Linked DNA regions of Tribolium castaneum. The protein of the gene in region 1 interacts with the protein of each later gene in a pairwise test. Links are inferred from orthologs where the notes say so. Each region holds a gene or a part of one and is shown in the gene's direction. Other genes may lie near its edges.

Region 1 (4,982 bases):
CTGACTTGTTTGTATGGCATTAAAGTGCTAAGTATGGGAATCATTGTCGGGGGTCATATGGCTGTAGTTAGGACAGCAATGGGTTCAAAAAACCCAACTTTATTTTTTTCAGAGGTAGTACAATTATTATTATTACAATTACAATTCGAAACAGATTTTACTTTTAGTGGCGCACATATTGGCACAACAGCCTTTTTCTTGGCACGTTTTTTGGTGTCGAGACTTTTTTCTGTATTGGGGGCGTTCTTGTGAGTTACCTCCAATTAAAATATTCGGAAAAATACCAAATCAACATTTTCTTATTTTATTTTCATCGAATTTTGCGGCTTTTGCCGGCCCTTTTTGCTGTAATTTTGTTCTACCTCGGTGTTTTAAAATATCTGTGTGAAGGCCCGTTTTGGCCCTTACTGTTGAATTATTTTGTGGACAATTGCCGCAAAACTTGGTGGGTGACTTTACTTTTCTTGTCTAATTATTTGGAACCTGTGGCACAGGTAAAAAATATTTTTCTTTGCACTCGACTGATTTTGTTTTAGTGTGCAGCTCATTCGTGGTATCTAGCTGTGGATACGCAACTATACTTAATTGCGCCATTCGTTATAATTAATTTGAAAAAACACACAATACGAGTTGTTACGGGAATGGCAATCGCGTGTTTCGTTTGCATTATTTACACTTTTATTGTAACGATGAAAAATAATTTCGGAGCAATTCTATTTTTTGAGTAAGCAGTGTTACATACGTGATTTTTTCTATAAATTTTATTCAGTTCCGACATGAGCTACATGAAGTACTACTACCTTACACCCATTGCTCATTTAGCACCTTGGTCGTTTGGAATACTACTAGGTTACCTGCTTTACCGACAAAATTATCAAAAAATCATAATTTCGAAACGACAAAATCGCTTCTTGATGGCCATTGCTCTTACAACTATGGTCGCCCTTCATTTACTTTGCACTGTCTTAATGAGACACGAACGTGATCCCTTCTACAGCGCCCTTTTCAACTGTTTTGTTAGACCTTTATGGGCACTTGCCCTTTGTGTCGTGATTTTTATTTGTTACACCGGACACGGAGGTATTATTTCGTTTTCAAAAGTAATGAATAATGAATTATGAATTATCATTCAATTGATTTCAGGATTTATCAACACTTTTTTGTCTCATCCGGTATTTATTATTGTGGGAAAACTTACATACAGCATGTATTTGTTACATGTACCGGTGATTTATGTAATTTTTTTGGGGATTAAGGACGAGACTAGCACCATCAGCAATACGATTTTGGTAAACTTTCATATTTATGTTATGCTTGATAAAGTAATTTAATATTGTAGTTTGTTGAGTTTTGGGGTACAATGGTCATAACTGGAGCTTGTGCGGTAATATTATGTCTCGTGTTTGAAACACCTGTTATTAATTTATTGCAAATTGTTGAAAGAAGTGAGTATTCAAGAAAAAAATTAAATTATTAACTTTTTGAATATACCGACCTTGCCCTTATCAGCGAGGTTAACTCCTTAATAATTTTTGTTTGTAATAAATTACAATATAATAAAAAAAATTATACAAACAAGTTTGTGTACTTAAATGGCTTTTACCCATTGGCATATTTACATATGGGCTAAAATATATTCTATTTCAATTAATAAAAAGATAGCTAGTATCTAAATAGTCGGGTTGCATTTTTTCCTAAGTTATCTTAGAGATTTTGATGTGCTCTTTGCGTTGGAAAAAAAAACTATAAGTTGTAGAGCAATTTCCATTGAATTCTACGGCTCATTTTACGTGAGATATCAATTTTTCACAAGAATAAAAAATTAAAAAACTTTTTGCTTAATATTAGGGTAGCTATTATTTATGGTGGATAATTTTATTAAAGAAAAAAAATCGTAACTCAAAAACTAAAAGCCGTAGAGCAAAACGGTTTGTTCCAGTGAATTCAGCGACTCATTTTCTGTATTATACAGAGTGATTCTAATGTAGAATGACCGACGGAATCCATATTTACAAGAATCAAGTCGCTACAGCTAACCATTCGGAAAATATCGTCAAAAATCAAGGCAGACGATGAACCTATCTATTAGCATATGCAACCAGTAAATCACAAAATCAAGTAAAAAAAAATCCAGCAGCTGTCAATTTGTTGGCTGTCAAATCTGTTACATAACCTCATTTTCGATAAATAACCAATTCAAGATAAGAACCCCGTGTGTGTGTGTCCAACTATCCGTGGTAGTGTAAAATCGATGGCCTCATCCACCTCTAGCACAACTTCATCGCTCCAAAAATGGCAAATCGCTCTCGGAATCGGAGCTGTAAGCGCTCTAGGTCTCAGTTACTGGTACTTAAAAACCGGCCGAAAGCCCCAATTGAAAGACACCAGCGATACAATATCAATCGATGAGTCCGTCAAAGATCCCCCTAAGGACCCCACCCCTTTGGAGCAAGCCCAACAGTATAAAACTTCCGGAAACGAAATGTTCAAAAAAGGCAAATTTGACGAAGCCATCCACTTGTACAACAAAGCCATCGAGGCATGTCCGGAAGAATTCAAAACGGAATTAGCGACGTATTATCAAAATCGAGCAGCGGCTTACGAAAACCTTAAAAAATGGAGCAGTGTAATTGCTGATTGTACCAAAGCGATTGAATTGAATTCGAGATACGAAAAGGCGTTAATGAGGAGAGCCAAGGCTGAGGAAATTGTCAAAGACTGGGAGAATTGTTTGGATGACGTCACGTGTGTGTGTCTTTTGCAACAATTCCAGAATCAAACGGCACTCTTGATGGCTGATCGCGTTTTGAAAGAGTTAGGTAAAAAACACGCACAGGAGGCCATGCTTAACCGAAAACCTATAATTCCGTCAAAGACTTTTATCAAGACTTATTTTTCGTCGTTTTCTGAGGATGTGGTTTATCAGAAATTGACTGAAGTGGGGGATCCACTCGGCCAAGGAGAGCTTTCGGGTTTCCTCAAAGCCAAACTCGCTTTCGCTACGGAAAAATACGAAGAAATAATCCCATCTTGTACCGAAGAAATCAATTCAAGTGAATCCGAATCGCCGTTTAAAATCGAAGCTTTATCACTCCGAGCTTCGTTTTATTTTCTCACTGGAAATCTAGACAAAGCACTTGAAGACTTGACCACGATCATAAACACCGACTGCGATGTTAAAATTAAAGTTAATTCACTAATCAAGCGTGCGTCGATTTACATGCAAAATGAGAAGCTCACAGAGTGCCTTGAGGATTTCGATAAAGCGGCTGAAGTCGGCCCGGAAATTTCCGATGTTTTCCATCATCGAGGTCAAGTCAAGCTTTTGATGGAAAAAACAAATGAGGCGATACTCGATTTTCAGAAAGCTGTTGATTTAAATCCGAATTTTTCGGTGGCTTTTGTACAAAAATGCTATTCGGATTATCGGCACGCAATGCAAGTGCAGGACGTGCAACTTTTGATGCAAAGTTTGGCCAATTTCAAGAAAGGCATTGAAAAATTCCCAACTTGTGTCGAGACTTACGTTTTGTACGCGCAAGTTTTGACCGAGAAACAGGATTATGAAGAGGCAGATAAGTTGTATGGAAAAGCGCTAGAGATTGACTCGGAAAATGCCTCGATTTACGTACATCGAGGTCTTTTGATGTTGCAATGGAAAGGTGAGATTGAACAAGCGGTCGAATTGATGAAAGAAGGAATCAAAATTGATGATAAATGCGAATTTGCCTATGAAACTTTAGGGACAGTTGAGGTTCAAAGGTATTTTGAATTTGTGTTGTGTTATAAATTTTGCCCTTAATTCATTTGTTTCAGAGGAAATTTAGTCGTTGCGATCGATTTATTCAACAAAGCTATAGCGTTGGCACGATCTGAAATGGAACTCACTCATTTGTTTTCGCTCAGAGATGCAGCAACGTCGCAATTAAAAGTCACTACACGACTAGGGATTGATTCGCAGCATATGGTTAACAAATAATTGTTAGTTGTTGTATTAAATTGTACCCCTCCTTAAATTTTTTAGTGTAAATATGGCATTCCAGACAATATCGCAAAAATTTTAGTGTATTAATTTCAAACAGGTGCTTAATAAACCATTTCTATCCAAAACGCTGTTTCATTGGCCAATTGACTCAACTTGACTATGCTCAACGAATAAGAGGCAGGGATTAGTGTCATGTGATCACAACCACATGGGTCACTGGACCAATGATTTACTAAATCGTGGTCATGTGATAAAAGTCATGTTTCACTTGATCTGATTAGAAAATTATCAGTTTATCAAAATTTTTGATAAAGCGCGCCTCACGCATGGTTTCCCTCCCCCCACTTACTTATTCTTTGTGTAGGCAACGCAGGAATGAATCACTTCCCTGTTTTTGTTGCTGACATGTGTATAATGAGATAAAATCAGCTTACCTAATAGTTTTTGTATCCCTTGTGTGTTAAAAACAATGTGACAATGCCACGCAATAATTCTGGTAATTTTCTGCAATTGTTTGACTGAAGGTAATTTACAATTTTAGAATATGAACCAATTGGTGAATCCTCCCACCAAACCCTCGACTTGAACCTTGAAGACTTCCAGTGTGACCTTTACGGTTTCACCAGGAGCTCTACACGCACTTTTTTCTACCATTTTTTAGGAATCGTATTTTTAGGCATTCCCTACTTACTTTCCAGTTGGTTTTCGCGCTTGAAATCGTGGAGATATAGAAAATGTAGCTTAAAACACGCAAACATTGTCTTGAGTGAGGTTATGTCAGCAGTGGGTGAACCCCACTGAATTGTAATTTTTAGTTAAAGATGTGCATGGGAATAGCGATTTTGTCGAAATTAAGACTGAAAATGCCAAATTGCCTAATTACGGGCACGTATATTTAAGATTTTTCACGTATCAACATGCGAAATACGTGTGGATCCCCCATAGCGAAATTTTTGGAACTCTAGACCTTTTAATACCTCCACAAACGGTTGATAGT
Region 2 (5,336 bases), on another chromosome or scaffold:
ACCATTTCGACAAAAACCACGCTTTTGAGGAGCTCAAGAATGGGGAGTTCCCCGTTCAAGTGTACGGCGACTGGCTTCCGAGACACCTCTTCGGAAGGTTCCAAGCACTGTGCGCTTACATCAGAATGATTTATTTAACACTAGTCTACGCAATTTTCTACCGTACCACTCAAAAGCCTGACGTGTACTTTGTGGACTTAATCCCTATGGCTGTGCCAATTTTGAAATTATTCGGCGAAAAAGTTATCTATTATTGTCACCACCCGGACTTGCTCGCCAGTGCGCCAGGGGGGGCCTTAAAAAATTTCTACAGGAAGCCCATAAACTGGTTGGAGTTAAAGTCCACAGCTCGGGCTGATATCATTCTAGTGAATAGTGAGTACACGGCTTCGGTCTTCCGGGAGACTTTCCCCCAAATCACAAAGACTGTACAAGTGGTGTACCCCACAGTGGCCTCCTCGTTCTTAGAAGCCGTCAAAAACACCAAAAACCCCAGACCAATCCACCAAATAATCCCAGAAATACCCCAAAACGCCGCCTGTGTCTTCCTCTCCATCAACCGCTTCCATCCCGCCAAGAAACTGGACTTGGCCATCAATGCGATGGAAATTTTGCAAAGAATCACCTCGGAAAATGAACGTAAAGGCATTTTCTTGGTTATGGCCGGGGGCTACGACCCCCAATCGTCCATAAACGCCAGTTATTTCACCGACTTGGAGAAACTCGTCGCTGAGAAGGGGCTCCAAGACAAGATTATTTTCCTCAAGTCGCCCCCCGATGACGTCAAGACGGAACTTCTGATGGCGTGTGACTGCCTCGTTTACACGCCCGTGAAGGAGCACTTCGGCATTGTCCCCCTCGAGGCAATGACGGTGGCTAAGCCCGTCATTGCGTGCAACAGTGGGGGCCCCCGAGAGACAGTCGACCACGGAAACACGGGCTATTTATGCGAACCGACCCCCGACAGTTTAGCGCAATTCATGTACAGGATATTCAAGTCGGATAACAAGGCAATGGGGCTCAAGGGGCGCAAAGTGTTGCAGGAGAAATTCTCAAATGAGAGTTTTGCAAGGAATTTGAAGAAAATCCTTGATCACACTAGTGTAAATAAGAAGTTTATTTAAATAAATATTTTACTTAGTCCAAGAGACCTTAGGTATGTCAAAGTGTTCCGTGAGCCCGTCCAAGTGTTGGTTGAATTTTTCTACTCTTTCTTTGTGTGTCATTGACGCTTTTTCCAAGATGCGTTGAGTTTGCTGCAAATTGTAACAATCAGGCAACAAATTTAACACGAAATGTGATTTATTTACCATTTTTTCTTGCTGTTTTAAGAACGCAAGTTCGGCTTTTGTTTTTTGCCTCGCAGGCTTTGATTCCGGTGTCTCACTTTCGACAATTTTGCTCACTTGCTCTAACAACTTCTTATCTTTCTTCTTCTTTTTCTTTTTAATGCTGTTATCACCTTTTAATTGCAATTTTCCCTTGCAAACTTGTGCGTATGGGTCGTCACTTTGCCCCATCTTGTTTGTTTTGACGTTTCTGGAATTTTTCACACAACAACCAACGTAACGGATCGACAATCCCCAAGAATGAGGTTATGAAATTTCCTCACAAAAAATGTTTTTTTCTAAAAATAAGCCCGGCCGCGGTTACCACAGATGATGAGTTTTATTATCAACGTAATTAAAGATTTGTTGCATAAGATGTTACAATTTCTGTCATTTAGTAGAAAAACGCTGAGCAATAATTTGAGTATTTACATAAAAACCAACACAGGGAATACGCTTTCGGTCGATTTGGACCCCACCTGGGACATAAAAGAGGTGAAAGAGTTCGTTGCGCCCCAATTGGGACTGAAACCAGGCGAGGTAAAGATTATTTTCGCTGGAAAAGAGCTGGGAGACAACATTAGTATTTCTGTGAGTTTTGCCCTCAATACCACTAGTCGTAACCAGTTAGTCATTCTAGGAATGTGATTTGGGCCAACAAAGCACCCTCCACGCTATCAAAATCACCAAAAAGCCCAACCCTCCCACTTTAAACAATGCCGTAATTGAGGAAAGTGACGAGGGCAAACCTCTGTGTGAGACCTTATCAGATTTGAGTTTTTCAAACGATGATTACGAGGAAGGGCCCACCGAGCAACGCAAAGTCCACTTTTTTGTCTATTGCCCCACGTGTAAAGCCCTCAAAAATGGGAAATTGCGAGTTCGGTGCCACTTTTGCAAATCGGGGGCTTTCACGGTGCACTCAGACCCCCAAAACTGGAATGATGTGCTGCAGCCAAAGCAGATAACCGGCCTTTGTGAGAATAGCCCCGAATTGTGCGCCAACGTACGTTTTTTAATTATTTAATTGAAATTAGTCAAAAACACTCCACACTAAAAATAGTACTGGACAAAATTTAATTTTCCTTTAAAATGTTTATAGTCAAAATATTTAAAGTTAAAAATATTTACGCTTACTAAGGAGCATTGCGAAAATTTTTAAAATGTTTGCAATCGTAATGTCCGCTCACCTAACTAGAAGCAGCAGATTCATTAACACCATAAGAGCGAGCTAAACCGAAATTCTGGTACAGGGAAATCAATGTTAATTTTAAAAACTAAAAGTCGCTGAAGACAATTAAAAACAATATACGCCAAAATATTTTCAGATACTTTTTTAAATTTCTTTTTCTATCATAAAGTTAAAATTTTCTACAGTTACCAAATTTATTGAATGTAAATCTAAATTTGAAATTTGGGTTACTACTGAGGGTCTCTATAACATTTTTAGAAAATGTGTTCCAGCTATAAATCAGGTATCTAGCCCAGTCAAGTTAGACCAGACAAGAATTGGGCGGTTGGTGGCAAAAATTCCTAGTGAGTTGGAATTTTTTAAACGCGTTCTTTAGATAGACAGATATTAAAAATCCCAGAGGATGGAGGCTGAGCTCGAGATGGGGGAGAGGGTTAAGTGTGTCATTTTTCGTTTTATTTCTTATACCACGGAAACAATCATTGTCGGTTTTCACCTTCTTACAAAAATTAAAGCTGATGAAATTTCCTACAAAAATTGGTCCTATGCACTTTTGTTATAGGACTACCCGTAAGCGAGTTATAGGACTGAAAAGAAATAATTATTTAAAAAAAATCTGCTTCAAAGTAGAATGTCTTGTGACTTGAAAAAATCCAAATTTTACAACTGTTTCAAATTGAAATGATGAAATCTCTAGTATTGTGTAAAAATTGTTATAATAAAAATTTTTTAAACGTCCTTGACTGATTGATTTTAAAAAAATTCACGACGATAAGACCAAGTTCCTTAAAAAGTTTAGTTAAAAGTTAATGTAATAAACATCATCAGGCTTTTTACTCGTTCAAATTCTTGGAAGTAAACATTAAAAGATGGAATTAACAATGACTTAATGACAACAACACATGCACACACCACCGCCTTTTGACACCAGTTGGTGTCTTAAAGTGAACAAGACAGCGTTTTAAAAATGGTGGATGCGCCGGGAGAAATTATCAAATTAAACATTTCCAAATACTACTTTGAATAACTTTAGTCAAAAATGTACAAGTGTACAGAAAATATAAGAAAAACAAGTGTAAAACAATTTACTATTAACAAACTGCAAATTAAAAAAATGGTGGATGCGCCGGAAAAATTAATCAATATTCAAAAAAAATAAAAATAGATGTTTGTTGTTATTTTCTGACAAATGTATACATGTTTAAAATACTTTTTTATCAAACATTAACGCAAGTAGAGCAAACTGACATGAAATAAGGCAGTGGTATTTTGACAATTTATTGAAATAACGTTATGAAACGTAAGTTTTATGGGAATTTTTGAATGTAATCATTTCTGGACAAAGACATGACTCTAGAGGCAAAACGGCTCATTTATCAGCGTTTATCAGCAAAACATTTCTATCTTAGTGACCTCTATAACACCGTAAAGTTTGGCAACATCATTTTGAACGCTGTATAAGGAAGAGAAAATTATGTAAAAATAAGTAAGAATCGCTCCATAATCAAAACGACACACAAGAATAATAGTTTAGATTTTTTATTAGATTACAATATTAATAATAAATTATAAACAAAGACAATTGGATTACCATAACTTTTCAATTCTCCTTTTTTACCTGCTTTTTTTTCTATCTTTGTACCTGTCTTAAATCATTTCTTTTAATTAAGTGTCAATAGAAATTACTAGTAGGTAGCACATAAGTAGGTAAATTTAATTTTTAATTCTTTTAATATTACCTTTTTTGAGATAAAAATGTATTCAACGGGAATCTACTAAAGCGCTACAATAATATTTTGTTTGTGCGTGAGATGCGTACAAAAGCAAAGATAGACAGTTTCGTTTGGTAACAGAAAATACTTGATCGATTTAACGACCTTCGCTAGAAATATTTTAGTTTAGCTTGCTCTTAAAACACAAATTAAGAACGACTATGATGAACACGGTAAAAACGACGTTAAATAAAAATATTTTTTTAACACATGTTTTGAATTCAAATTTGATAAAACCGCTACCTATACCCTGGAAAATCTATTATTTCGAAAATCTATTAAATTAAAATTTTTAATTAATAATTCCTGCAGGTTCTGAACAACAAAGAACCGACTTTCGCCGAATTTTATTTCAAATGCTCGGAGCACACGTCCCTTGGAGAGACCGACGAGGCTGTTCCCCTCTATCTAATTCGTCCAAATTTAAAAGAAGTGCCTTGTCTAGCGTGCGCTGACATAAAGTAAACGCGAAAATAACTCCTAGCGTGAAAATAACCAATAAAATTTTAGCGAAACCGTGTTCGTCTTTCCATGTAAAGAGGGCCACGTTACTTGCCTCGACTGTTTCCGCCAGTACTGCACGACACGGCTGCGGGAACGCCAATTCTGGCAACACCCCGAGTTTGGCTACACGCTAGCGTGCCCCGCTGGCTGTCCCGACTCCTTCATCCAGGAGATCCACCATTTTCGCCTCCTGTCAGAGAGTCAAGTGAGCTCTGCTTCAAGCCCGTTTAATAGCGCGGACTAATTTTTTTATAGTACACACAATATCAGAGATTTGCGACTGAAGAGTATGTGTTGCGCTCCGGTGGGGTGCTCTGCCCCCAGCCGGGCTGCGGCATGGGCATACTGGCGGACCCCGAGTGCACCAAAATCACGTGCATCAACGGCTGCGGCTACGTTTTCTGCCGCCTGTGCCTCCAGGGGTTCCACATTGGGGAGTGCGAAGCGCCCGAAGGGGACGTGGGGGCCCCGGGGGATTGTTCGTACAATGTGGACCCCACAAGAGCCGCGGAAGCCCGTTGGGACGAAGCTTCGAAAGTT

What was found.
Region 2: the proteins of Tom70 (region 1) and park come close enough for resonance energy transfer, tested with the Homo sapiens proteins (3 studies listed by BioGRID). The link is inferred for Tribolium castaneum from reciprocal best matches to the Homo sapiens genes TOMM70 and PRKN.

The regions. Positions count from the first base shown.
Region 1 is NC_087402.1:139,743-144,724, forward strand, and holds Tom70 (mitochondrial import receptor subunit TOM70), read left to right. Parts: upstream 1-2,125; 5' UTR 2,126-2,251; coding exon 2,252-3,762; intron 3,763-3,816; coding exon 3,817-3,979; 3' UTR 3,980-4,110; downstream 4,111-4,982. Other genes in the region: nose resistant to fluoxetine protein 6, read left to right, coding at 1-114, 168-494, 537-724, 770-1,080, 1,144-1,289, 1,340-1,477; polyamine-transporting ATPase 13A3, read left to right, coding at 4,463-4,481, 4,527-4,751, 4,801-4,982. UniProt on the Homo sapiens protein: Acts as a receptor of the preprotein translocase complex of the outer mitochondrial membrane (TOM complex). Recognizes and mediates the translocation of mitochondrial preproteins from the cytosol into the mitochondria in a chaperone dependent manner.
Region 2 is NC_087398.1:11,671,457-11,676,792, reverse strand, and holds the start of park (E3 ubiquitin-protein ligase parkin), read left to right. Parts: upstream 1-1,658; coding exon 1,659-1,919; intron 1,920-1,968; coding exon 1,969-2,334; intron 2,335-4,604; coding exon 4,605-4,753; intron 4,754-4,802; coding exon 4,803-5,001; intron 5,002-5,051; coding exon 5,052-5,336. Other genes in the region: alpha-1,3/1,6-mannosyltransferase ALG2, read left to right, coding at 1-1,124; protein FAM32A, read right to left, coding at 1,134-1,256, 1,311-1,520. UniProt on the Homo sapiens protein: Functions within a multiprotein E3 ubiquitin ligase complex, catalyzing the covalent attachment of ubiquitin moieties onto substrate proteins. Substrates include SYT11 and VDAC1.